Ovis aries: one gene and its partners. The protein of the gene in region 1 interacts with the protein of each later gene in a pairwise test. Links are inferred from orthologs where the notes say so. Each region holds a gene or a part of one and is shown in the gene's direction. Other genes may lie near its edges. The genes, in order: E3 SUMO-protein ligase ZBED1, EFHC1 and LRRC20.

Evidence for each region.
Region 2: the proteins of E3 SUMO-protein ligase ZBED1 (region 1) and EFHC1 interact in binary tests that used the Homo sapiens proteins (3 or more experiments, as listed by UniProt). The two-hybrid records come from large-scale screens. The link is inferred for Ovis aries from reciprocal best matches to the Homo sapiens genes ZBED1 and EFHC1.
Region 3: the proteins of E3 SUMO-protein ligase ZBED1 (region 1) and LRRC20 interact in binary tests that used the Homo sapiens proteins (3 or more experiments, as listed by UniProt). The two-hybrid records come from large-scale screens. The link is inferred for Ovis aries from reciprocal best matches to the Homo sapiens genes ZBED1 and LRRC20.

What each region holds. Positions count from the first base shown.
Region 1 is NC_056080.1:6,131,487-6,135,631, forward strand, and holds the start of E3 SUMO-protein ligase ZBED1, read left to right. Parts: upstream 1-1,308; 5' UTR 1,309-1,391; coding exon of another isoform or gene 1,392-1,500; intron 1,501-2,153; exon of another isoform or gene 2,154-3,233; intron 3,234-4,145. Other genes in the region: dehydrogenase/reductase SDR family member on chromosome X, read left to right, coding at 1,392-1,500.
Region 2 is NC_056073.1:24,531,159-24,534,697, forward strand, and holds part of EFHC1 (EF-hand domain-containing protein 1), read left to right. Parts: intron 1-1,753; coding exon 1,754-1,967; intron 1,968-2,299; coding exon 2,300-2,447; intron 2,448-3,539. UniProt on the Homo sapiens protein: Microtubule inner protein (MIP) part of the dynein-decorated doublet microtubules (DMTs) in cilia axoneme, which is required for motile cilia beating.
Region 3 is NC_056078.1:25,782,643-25,786,966, reverse strand, and holds the start of LRRC20 (leucine-rich repeat-containing protein 20), read left to right. Parts: upstream 1-1,514; 5' UTR 1,515-1,603; intron 1,604-4,324.

The sequences.
Region 1 (4,145 bases):
CGTGGGCGCGCTCTGGGAGTCGGGGGCGCGCGCAGGGCGGGGGCGCGCTCTGGAGAGTCGGGGACGCGTGGGGGCGTGGGCGCGCTCGGGGCGGGAGTTGGGGGCGCGCGCAGGGCGGGGATGCGCTCGGGGCGGGAGTCGGGGGCGCGCTCGGGGCGGGAGTCGGGGGCGCGCGCAGGGCGGGGGCGCGCGCGGGGCGGGGGCGCGCGCCGGGCGGGAGTCGGGGGCGCGCGTGGAGAGTCCGGGACGCGCGCGAGGTGGGAATCAGGGGCGTGCGCAGTGGAGCGGGGGCGCGCTCGGGGCGGGAGTTGGGGGCGCGCTCTGGGGAGTCGGGGACGCGTGGGGGCGGGGGCTTGCTCGGGGCGGGAGTCGGGGTTGCGCGCGGGGCGGGGGCGCGCGGGGGGCGGGAGTCGGGGGCGCGGGCAGGCGAGGCTGGGGCGCGGGCGCACTCGGCAGGGGGGGTGGGAGTCGGGGGCGCGCGCGCGAGACGGGGGCGCGTGCAGGAGGGGCTGGGGAGCACGGGAGAGCCGGGGGCGCGCGCGCGGGGCTGGAGTCGGGGCGCGCGCGGGACTCAGGGCGCGAGCAGGGGCGGGGGCGCGCTGGGGAGTCGGGGGCGCGCTCAGGGCGGGGAGCGTGGGCGCGCGCGGGGGGGCGGGCCGTGGGCGTGCGCAGGGCGGGGGCGCGCTCTGGAGAGTCGGGGACGCGTGGGGGCGTGGGCGCGCTCGGGGCGGGAGTCGGGGGCGCGCGCAGGGCGGGGATGCGCTCGGGGCGGGAGTCCGGGGCGCGCGGGGGGGGGCGTGGGCGCGCTCGGGGCGGGAGTCGGGGGCGCGCGCGGGGCGGGGGCGCGCGCGGGCGTGGGCGCGCTCGGGGCGGGAGTCGGGCGCGCGCGCAGGGCGGGGGCGCGCTCGGGAGGGTCGGGGACGCGCGGGGAGCGGGGGCGCGGGAGTCGGGGGCGCGCGGGGGCGTGGGCACGCTCGGGGCGGGAGTCGGGGGTGCGCGCAGGGCGGGGGCGCGCGCGGGGCGGGAGTCGGGGGCGCGCGCGGGGCGGGAGTCGGGGGCGCGCGGGGGCGTGGGCACGCTCGGGGCGGGAGTCGGGGGTGCGCGCAGGGCGGGGGCGCGCTCGGGGCGGGAGTCGGGGGTGCGCGCAGGGCGGGGCCGCGCGAAGGGCGGGAGTCGGGGGCGCGCGGGGGCGCGGGCGCGCGCGGGGCGGGAGGCGGGGGCGCGCGCGGGGCGGGAGTCGGGGGCGCGCGCGCGCGGGGCGGGGCGTGGGCGCGGCGCGGGGCGGGCCGGCGCGGGCGCGTTTCCGCCGTCGGGCCCGGGGCTCCGAGTCCGGCCGGCGGCGCGGAAGCGGCGGCGGCGGCGGCGGCGGCGGCGGCGGCGGCGGGGCAGCCATGTCGCCTTTGTCCGCGGCGCGGGCGGCCCTGCGGGTGTACGCGGTGGGCGCGGCGCTGGTCGTGGCGCAGCTGCTGCGTCGCTGCGTGCGGGGCTTCGTGGAGCCAGGTCAGCGGCCGGGGAGCGGCGGCGAGGGGCCGGGGCCGCGCGGCGCGGGCGGGGCTGCGGCAGGGGGCTGGCGGGGGCCCGCGTCGCCGGGCCCGGGGCGCGCCCTCCGCCCGTGCAGAGGACCCCCAGGTTCGGGGCGGAGCTGGGAAGGGGCGCGGGGAGGCGGGCGCGTCGGGCGCTCCCGGAAGCAGGCCCGGGCGGCCCGGCGGGGGGAGGAGGCGCGCCCTCCCCGCCGCCCCGCCCGCTCCGCGCGCGCCCCGGGGGCCGGGGTAGCCAGGGGGTCCCGCGCGCCCTGGCCCGGGGGTCGCAGGTTCGTGCGCGCCGCGTCGGGCGCTCCCGGAAGCCGGGCCGGGCGGCCTGCGGGGGTCGGCTTGGGGGAAGGCGCGCCCTCCCCAGCGCCCCGGGGGCTGGGGTCTCTCCAGGGGATCCGTGCGCGCCCCAACCACGGCGGGAGCCCCCCCACCCCACCCCGGGGTCCCTGCGCTCTGCAGACCCGCATCCCGGAGGGAGGCGGGGGCGGGGGGGCGAGATCCCGGCCCCGCGCGGGCTCCAGTAGGACGGGGCCTGCCCGGGTTTGCAGGGACTGGGGGGCTGGGGCGGTGTTGGGGGGCGCGCCAAGGGGCTGGAGGCGGCTTCTAGGGGGTCTAGGAGCCCTGGAGAGGGGAGCTTCAGTTTAGTGGCCGCCGGTTTCTCTGGCCTGCGCCACCTGCGCGGAGCCTCGGGGCCCAATCTTGGCGGTGCGGGGACCCATTCGCGTCTTCACGCATATTAGGGACCCCCCCCCCACCTCCCTTCCCCACCAATCTGGGAGGGAGTCTCCGTCTGTCTGGTCACCTCGGTGTTCTCAGGACTTCGATCGAGGAAACCGGTGTTTCTGTCTGTTCTTGACTTGCAGAGTGTCAAAATAACTCTAGGGTCTGTGTGCCGTAAATGACATGTCAATTTTTTTAGGAGAAAAACAGCTACTTTTGGAAACAAAGTATTCTCTGGGAAGCGCGGTGTCCCGTTACCTTGTAATGACTCTCTTTATTATCTGGGGTAAGAGGAGACAGAGATTCTTAAGTCCAACTGGGTTTTCAAGGGTGTTGGCATAGCCCACACCGCCCTCCCCCCCAACCCGGCAGCCTGTGGGTAACGCCCCTGACCACCCTGGCCACCCCCGGGAGATTGGGGTGGAAAAACAGAAAGGCTGTTACTATGCTTGTGCAAATGCCTTCCCGTGCCTCCACCTGCAGGAAGGCCCAGCAGGGCCCAGGCCTTGCACACCTGCAGCTCTGAGCACTTTTTTTCCTACCCTCCCTGGGTCTTCACCCGGGGAGATACATCTCGCAGGTTTATGTTGAGCTAAGCGATTAGTTTTCTGATAAACTGCATTTTGGTGCTGTTTTTTAAAAAGCACACGGAGCATGACTGGAAAAGACTGCAGAGGAAGGCAGAGTGGAAGGCAGAGTGCAGCTTTGGCACCTGGGCTGACTTGTAAACAGTGAAGGGCTCTGAAGAGCAGTCCCATGTTTGCCCCACACTGCCCCTAAGTTGCAGAGCACCCAGGGGAGGTTGCGGGCTTCCCTGGGGGCTCAGACAGCGAACAGTCTGCCTGCAAGGCGGGAGACCAGGATTCGATCCCAGTGGGGAAGATTCCGTGGAGAAGGGAATGGCCGCCCACTCCAGTATTCTTGCCTGGACAATCCCACAGACAGAGGATCCTGGCGGGCCAGACACTGAACTTTGCCCAGGTATGCAGCTAAATAAACTGTAACCCAGAGGCCCAGTTCAGATGCAGACTAGCTGGGATTTTGTTTTGTTTTGTTTCATTTCTAACGTCTTTATTGAATTCGTTACAGCGTTGCTTCTGTTTTTATGTTTCTCTGGTTTTTTGGTCCCTGAGTCATAAGGGATTTTAGCAACCCCACCCAGGATTGAACCCGATATTGAAGTGGCCAAGTCTTAACCATTGGACCACCAGGGGAGTTCTGTTTTTTGCCTTTAAACATCAGATGTTTTCTTTTTTAACAGTATGTATGGCCTATATAAATGTGCACACAGTATACAATAATTAATGTGGAAATATTACAGGGAGGAAGTCACCAATTCTGACTCCATGTTGGAAGCTATTTTCTTTGACTCGGTTTTTATTATTATAAAGAAAAAGAAGAAAAAAAAAGAAAGTCGCTCAGTCCTGTCTGACTCTTTACGACCTCATGGACTGTAGCCCACCAGGCACCTCTGCCCATGGGATTTTCCAGGCAAGAATACTGGAGTGGGTTGCTATTCCCTTCTCCAGGGGATCTTCTTGACCCAGGGATCGAACCCAGGTCTCCTGCATTCTAGGCAGATTCTTTGCTGTCTGAGCCACCAGGGGAGCCCCTTTATTATTATAATCGTACTCAGTGGCTTGCCCGCAGGACCCTGCCTCTCTGTTTGACTGTCAAATAAAGTGCCTTTGGGGGGCTTCCCTGGTGGCTCAGCTGATAAAGAATCCTTCTGCAGAGCTGGAGACCTGGGTTCCATCCCTGGGTTGGGAAGATCTGCTGGAGAAGGGAAAGGCTACCCACCCCAGTATTCTGGCCTGGAGAATTCCATGGACGGTACAGTCCCTGGGGTCGCAAAGATTCCTAAATGAATGAGCGACTTTCACTTAAAGTGCA
Region 2 (3,539 bases), on another chromosome or scaffold:
ACAAATTTAGATCCTGAATGTTCCACTCAGTGGCTGAATTGCCTGAAGCAAATTACTGATAAGAATTCAAAGGGTAATGTCTTTAAAAATAGAAGAAAAAAAAAAACAGAAATAGAAATATAAGTGTTTTATTTAGACATAAATAGCAGAAATTGACATGTTACTCTGGCAATAGAAATGTGTTTGAAAAATGAGAACATAGTTAACTGATATATTTTTTGAAATGTTGAACAAAGCTTTGAAACGAGAGTTCTAGTAAATTCTAGGCCAATTAGAACACTCCACACTGAGAATTCTGGTAGGGCAGAAACCAACACAACATTGTAAAGCAATTTTCCTCTGATTAAAAAATAAAAGAAAAGAATTCTGATTAATGAAGGTTTTGCATTGTTGGCTAAGTTCTTTGAGTTACTATTAAAGTTCAAGAGGTTTGTTGAATTATAACATAGTAATTGTGAATTCCTTGAGGGCAGGGGTAGTGTCTCTTTAGACTTTGTAGGCACTCGATAATTATTGGTTGAGTTGGTAAATGAATTTATTTACACATACACTGTCCATGAGTCAGGCAAAATAATGTTATACTCATTTTATGTTTTGAAATATAAGAATCAGAGAGGTTAATGGTGTGTCCCAGGTCTTAGTGCTTAGACAGAGGCAGAACTGGAACTCAACCTAATGAAAACTCTTAAGTTGAAAAGATACATGCACCCCAGTGTTCATAGCAGTACTGTTTAAAATAGCCAAGACATGGGAGCAACCTAAATGTCCATCAACAGAGGAATGGATATAAAGAAGCTGTGTGGAAGTGTGTGTGTGTGTGTGTGTGTGTGTGTGTGTGTGTGTAAGGGAATATTACTCAGCCATAAGAAAACTGGAATAATTTGCAGCAACATGGATTGACCTAGAGATTATCATATAGTAGAATTTCAGTGAACAAGCCTGGAAGAAAAGAATGAGGTAGAAAATTAGCATTATGCACACACCACAGTAAACTTGTTGCTGACCAGATCCATCAACAGATGCTAAAATTAGTGGGAAACCCTTTGGGGAAAAACACGATTTCCATAGCTTGCAAGCATCTCCCTCAAAATATTTATTAACTGCAAAGGGAAAGATGGTGACTTCCTAGGAGAGAAACCTACCAGGCATCTTCTTAACCAAGTGATCAAGATCAGCGTCACCAATAAAAAGACGTTTTGACATCATGGACTCCTTTGATACACACAGAAAAGGATCTGCATAAATTTTCCTCTCCTTTAAAATTTTCTTTTTAAAATTATGTATAGAAATGGATTTGTGTAAAGGCATAGACTTTGCATAGTTACTTTAGTGTCCTTGAAGCTGAACATAATGTCAGCTGAGAGGTTTCAGACTAGCCACCTTTGGGTAGAATATAGCCCATATGTTATCTCTGGCCTGCCTGGTGCTTTTAAAGAGTTGAAGTCAACATGTTAAAGTCAGGGATTTAATATAGTAATCCATATTTCTATCTTCTCATGAAAAATTGGAAGATCTACTAACATTGGGCCTGCGTTCATTCCCACAGGCAACAGTCAACTGGTGTGAGTTGGGGGAGCTTCCCTTAGGTGAAATGTACCCTGTCCAGGCCTCCAGAGTCCCCCTATACTGTTCATTCATGTTATATTCCATATGTTAGGCTTATATTGTAGCCTAGTCCCTGTAGGTATTTTAGTTGGCGGCATCTGCATAGATCGTGTATCTTCATAATGTCCTCTTTTCTTCACCTTTCCAGGAATCCCCCATCCCAGAAGACAAAGACCGCCAGTTTGTCTTGTCTTATTTTCTGGCCACTGACATGATCAGTATCTTTGAGCCTCCTGTTCGCAATTCTGGTATCATTGGGGGCAAGTATCTCGGCAAAACTAAAGTTATCAAACCAGATTCCTCGGTGGAAAACCCTGTATACTATGGCCCCAGTGACTTCTTCATTGGTGCTGTGATTGACGGTAGGTCTCAGCAGAGTTCAGGCTTTCCTACTGGCTTTATTGGGGATTTAACTGAGTGAACACTTGTATAAGGCATTAGTCTGCAGTCCAGAAGTACATGTGGTTCAATGTCTTAATATCCTCCTTTATCAATTAAACTGTAAATTGGTTGCATTTGTTGGCTGTAGATGGAGACTCGGAGCTCCCTAAGCACTGAGCAAACTAGTGCATATTAGTTTGGAGAGATATTTAAGGTTCATTAGTCTAGGTCATAAATACATGTCTGTGAATTTTTACTCTTGGTTGCCTGATAAAAACATAACCAGGCTAATGTATTTCTACCTTCTCCCCAGTGTTTGGCCACCGGTTCGTCATCCTTGATACAGACGACTACGTTTTGAAATACATGGAGAGCAACGCTGCCCAGTATTCACCAGAAGCACTCCTGTCGATTCAGAACCGCATTCAAAAGCAAGAGGCTCCCGCACCAGAATTGGATGGGTATGTCTGACCATCTGAGATCCATTTTGGCTTTGGCACAATGAGATATTCAGCAAACAGTTCTTAACAAAATGAATGGGTAATCACATTTTAGCTTTTCAGGTTTCCCTCACCAATGGAAATTCTTATACACGGGTGGTGGTTGTTTAGTTACTAAGTCGTGTCCTACTCTTTTGTGTCCCCATTTCCTTCTCCAGGGGATCTTCCTGACCCAGAGATAGAACCCATGTTTCCTGCTTGGCAGGTGGTTTACACAGGTTACCTGAGTCTAATATAGTAACTTGGGTTTCCTTGGTGCCTCAGTGGTAAAGCATCTGCCTGCCAATGCAGGAGACACCAGTTCAGTTCCTGGGTTGGGAAGATCCCCTGGAGAAGGAAAAGGCAACCCACTCCAGTATTAATGCCTGGAAAATCTCATGGACAGAGGAGCCTGGTGGGCTGCAGTCTATTTTGGGTCTCAAAGAGTCAGACATGACTTAGTGACTAAAAACAATGATTAAGACAGTGGCTATAGCAGAGATGAGAGGAGGAGGAGGTAAGGATGATGAATGTTTCTGACCTGAGCATCTGGAAAGGAGGAGTTGCCACCAGCTGGGATGGAGACGTATATTGTAGGTAGAGGAGGATTTTTTGGAGGCGGTGGGGTGGTGGGGATGTTTCAGTGTTGGACATACTGGGGTTTAAGATACCTTTAGATATGCAAGTAGAGTGATCAAACAGGCGGTTGGACATATAAACCTAGAGTTCAGGTGAGAGCTGTGGGAGTTGTGGGCATATAAATGATATTTTAAGCCACGAGACTGGGTGAAATCTCTAAGGTAGCCATTATAGACAGAGAAGAAAAAATAGCTCCAAGGATTGCACTCTGGAGTCCTCCAGCAGTAAGAGTTGGAAGAGAAACCAGAGAACAGCTAGTGAGGCAGGAAGAAAGCTAGGCAGGTGTGGTGTCCTGGAATCCAGGTGGAGGATCCAGGCGTCCCCTTTTGCCCAGAAGTTTATAGTGGGATTATGAATGTGACCACACAGACAATCTTTGCACCACTGGGAAAATTCACTCTTGTTCTGCAGCTTCAAAACCTTTTTGTCAAAACA
Region 3 (4,324 bases), on another chromosome or scaffold:
ATGGGCTGCTGTCTATGGGGTCACACAGAGTTGGACACGACTGAAGCAACTTAGCAGCAGCAGCAGCAGCAGGTAGTTTAATACGAGAGAAACTTATTCTCACAGTTCTGGAAGCTAGAAGTCTGAAATCAAGGTGTCAGCAGAGTTGGTTCCTTTATGGAGGCACTGAGGGAACACCCGTTCCTTGCTTCTTCTTAGTTTCCGATCCTTGTCCACAATCCTTGGAATTTCTTGGCTTGTAGACACATCACTCTACCCTGCCTCCATCTTCACAAGGCCTTATGTGTCTATGTGTCTTTGTGTTTCTTCTCTTATAAGGACATCAGTCACGCCCTATGCCAGTATGATCTCATCTTAACCTGTTATACCTGCAATGACCTTATTTCCAAATCAGGTCACATTCTCAGGTACTGGGAGTTAAGAATTCAACATATATATATATATTGGTTGGGGGGAGATGCAATTTAACTGATAACACCCACCAAGACCCAGGTGAATGTGTATTCCTCGTCTAACTGCCCCAGTCCCCAGGGGGCAGAATTAAACATTATGTCTTCAGGGCTCCCACATATTTACACACACGCTTCTGTTTATTGGAGCGTTTGACTCATTGACCACCATTGCTGGTTGAGTTCAGGCCCTCATCTCTTTGGTCCTCCCCACAGTGCCTAGAAAAAAATATATGGGAAGGGACTTCCCTGGTGGGCCAGTGGTTAAGAATCTGTTTTGCAAGGCAGGGGAGGTGGGTTTGATGCCTGGTCTGGTAACTAAGATCCCACGTGTGGTGGGGCAACTACTGAGTCTGTGCCCCACGATGAAAGATCCTGCATGAGTCAAGGAAGATCCCTCCAGCCCCAATAAGACCTGATGCAGCCAGGTCTTGGTTTGCCTTAAAAAAAAAAAAAAAAAGGAATCTATGGGAAATCCTCTGTAAACTTAGGTCTATGAAGCAGCCACCCTTCCCTGAGCCATCATGCCTGGCACCCCACTAAACTTTTCATGTGTTAATCCTCACAATGACCTGTGAAGTAGATATTTATACATTTTAATTTCTATTTTATAGAGATGAACATTGGGATCTAGAGGGGAGAAGTAACTTAGCAGTAGCCAGAATTAATTGCCTCTAAAAACCTGAATGGGCGCCTTAAGGCATTACAAGAAAAGCTCCCTCGTCCCCATCTCCCTGATCTGGCTAGTTCAACTCTGCTCCCTTGAGAAAAACAAATCCGGACACTCAGTCATATTGATCCTGGAAACTGTTGCGCATTCGGTTCTATACTCCGGCCATCCAGAGCGTTTTTGCTCCAGAAGTCGAACACAAAGCGGACCCACCCTGCGGACGCGAGCGCGCGGGCCGCCTTTCCCGGCGCACCGCTGCCGGGCGCGGCGTGGGGAACGGCAGGCTGATTGGTTGCACAAGGCAGCCTACTCCCGCCTCGCGGCCCCTCCTGCCACAGCTATTGGCCAAGCGGCCGCGCGCTCAGAGCCCGCAGCCCCTCGAGCCCCTCCCGGCCGGCTTCAGCTAGCCGCTGTTGCATGGGGCGCCGCCGGCGGCCGAGGGAGCGTGACTGCGCTGCGCAGGGCGCTAGGAGGCATTGTCGCCGTAAGTGGAGCAGAGATCGACCCGGAATCGGGCACCACTTTCGTGCCCCGTAAAGTAAACGTAGTCTGAGGCTAAGCGCTGGAGGGGCTGGGGGAGAGAGGGAGAGAAATGTCCCTGTTTCTGGAGAGTACCCTCCCCTCCCCCAAGTCACCCGGTGGAAGGAGCATTGGTGCACCAGTGGCGACTTCTGCAGTGCCAAGGGGCCCGGCGCCAGGCCGGTTCTGGCTTGCAGACTGCGGCTAGACCGCAGCTGGCTCGGGGGAGCGGGCGCCGCGGTACCAGGAAATAGGGAGCCTGGGGAAGCCGTTCCAAGAGGGCCTCCGTTCTCCGTGGGAGGCGCCCCTGTTCGAAGAGGCTATTGTAAATTTCGTCCCTGAAGCCACACTTTCAGGATTTGCTTCCGCTCTGGGGAACTGCCTGTCCCAGAGCTGGCTTCTCGGCCTCGGGGAACGGCGGGAGTCCCCGGCCCTCGGCGATCACCAGCGTTCTACCCCTCTGCTGGCTTTATTCCTCCCAGTCCCCGCCTGCCGAGTGAGCGGAGGGCCGGCGGCGAGGAGCCATTGGCTGCGGGCGCCGGGGGGTGGGGAAGACGGTGAGGCGGGCCCCTAGAGCGAGGCTTGGGGACCCTGCCCTGGCCACCGCCCTCAGTCCTGGGAGGTGGCGGCCCGAGGATGCTTAGATTCCCATACAGAAGCGTGCAGCGGGCTCTGCGAACTCCGTGGCTCAAAACCAGGGCGGGCAGCCCGTCGCGTCCTCGCCCCTGCGGGCTTCTTCCCTTGGGTGGAGAAGTGGGTCAACTCTGTCCGGCCTCGAGTGGGCCTTCGGGGCTCCTTGGGTCCGATCCAGCCGAGTGCTTCTCACTTCTCCAGTGGCTCCTTAACTTGGCGAGGTCCAGAGGACCCGCTGCAGCCAGCGGTGGGGGGAGCTTCCACACATGGCGCAAGAGGCTCCAGTTGCCCTTCGGGGCGGCTGCCAGGCTCTAAAGTTCCCAAGTGACCACACCAGTAACTAAATATAGGAGCAGCTGGTGCGCACGGGGTGTTGCAGCAGCTCCTTTGCACAGATCTTGGGGCTTCAGATAAGGTAGAATTCTCATTGATGAGGGCGGGAGCCCTGTCGGAGGGCTGTAGTCAGTGTTTAAGCAAAAAATCATCTCTCCCCAAACCTGTATCCAGGTGAAACCAAGTTATAGATACAAGAGGGCTCTATTGCCAGCACTCTCAAAGCAGGACAACTTCCTTTCTGGCATTACATTTATTCTATCCTAACTTACCATCTGAAGTGGTTTTAAACACATATTAGTAATGTCTTAGTGAAGCACTTAGATGGGAAGTGCTTAACATTTTGCAGAGATTTCTCAAAAATTATGTATCATTTACTTCTCAAAACAACCCAGTGAGGAGGGTGGTATTTCCAGCTGACAACTGGGACTGCTCACAACAGTGATAATTTTCCAAAACTCTGGTTGGATTAGTTGCCTCTCCTCAAAAGACTCCTGTGGTTGCCTGCAGAGTTGTAGAATGGACTCCAGCCCCCTTCCCCAGGAATTGAGGGACAGACTGGCTGCCTCTCTTCCTCTTTCTCTTGTCATTTTGGGTCCCTCTGCTCACCCCCTGCCTCTGTTCCTTCTTCCCAACCATGCCCTGTGCCCTCATGGCAGAGGGCACACGGGCTCTTCAGGCTGGTGCCGTGACCTCCAGCATGTGGCTCATTCCGCCCTTCGTCGCTGAGTCTCTCTTATCTGATGGGTAGCTCATCCTGGCCCATGTTCTGTCTCTGCACCTCTACTCCTCCAGTGTGGGCCTTATAGAAGGGCCCAGGACACGTTTGTTGGATTAAACATTTCCTAGGAATAGTGCACACTCTGAGGAAAGAGGAGTTGGAGAGGGATGTTTTGCTGGGTCAGCAATAGTGTGAGTATGAGTCTGGACCTTGTGCTGAAGGGTCTCCAGGCTTTAGAGCACTTTCCTTGAAATTTTCTAAGGCTGCCCTCTGGTGCTTGGGACCCCAAGCCCAGAATTGACCTATGTGGGCTGATGGGTCCTATTTATCTCCTTTGGGACACTTTGATTTTCAGTTACCCCTTTCCCTGCCTGTGGGGTTGACCAGATGTCTTAAGGAGCCCAGAACTTGGGCCTGTGGGGTTGACTTGTCTTGGGACACTGTGGTTGGGGTCTGGTTCCAGGAGTGCTGCCTTGCACACTGATTGCTCCCACTGGTTAGCATGATCTTCTTTCATGGAACTGAATGAGAACGGGCAGCCAGGGTGGTGGTGCTGATACAGATTTTGGTTGACTCAAATTGCTTGTTTAGTCAGGGGCCCCTCACATCCTAGGGTGGCTCTGCCTAGGGGACTTCACACTTGGTGAAGAGTGGGCCCATACCTCTCTCCATCACTCATGTGTGACTCAGACAATTCTCTATTTTTCTTTAAAACAATTTAAAGCCAAAAAGAAAAGAAGTGCAGTTTGCTTTATTCCACCCACAGCCCCTCAACCCCTGGCCCAACCCCTTTTTCTGTCGGCTCCTGTTACATGCTCAATAAATTCTTGCTACTTTTTGGTCAAAGAGGTCCAGTGTTGGGTTGGTGCTGAAAGGAGCTCTCAGCGAAGTTGGGCAGCCTTGTAGGATCAGTTTTGGGGACACACTGTAGACTCTCATCATCTCAAGTTCGTTCTTCCTTCAGTTCTGCGGCCCTCTTACCCCATCTTGGGCCTTATA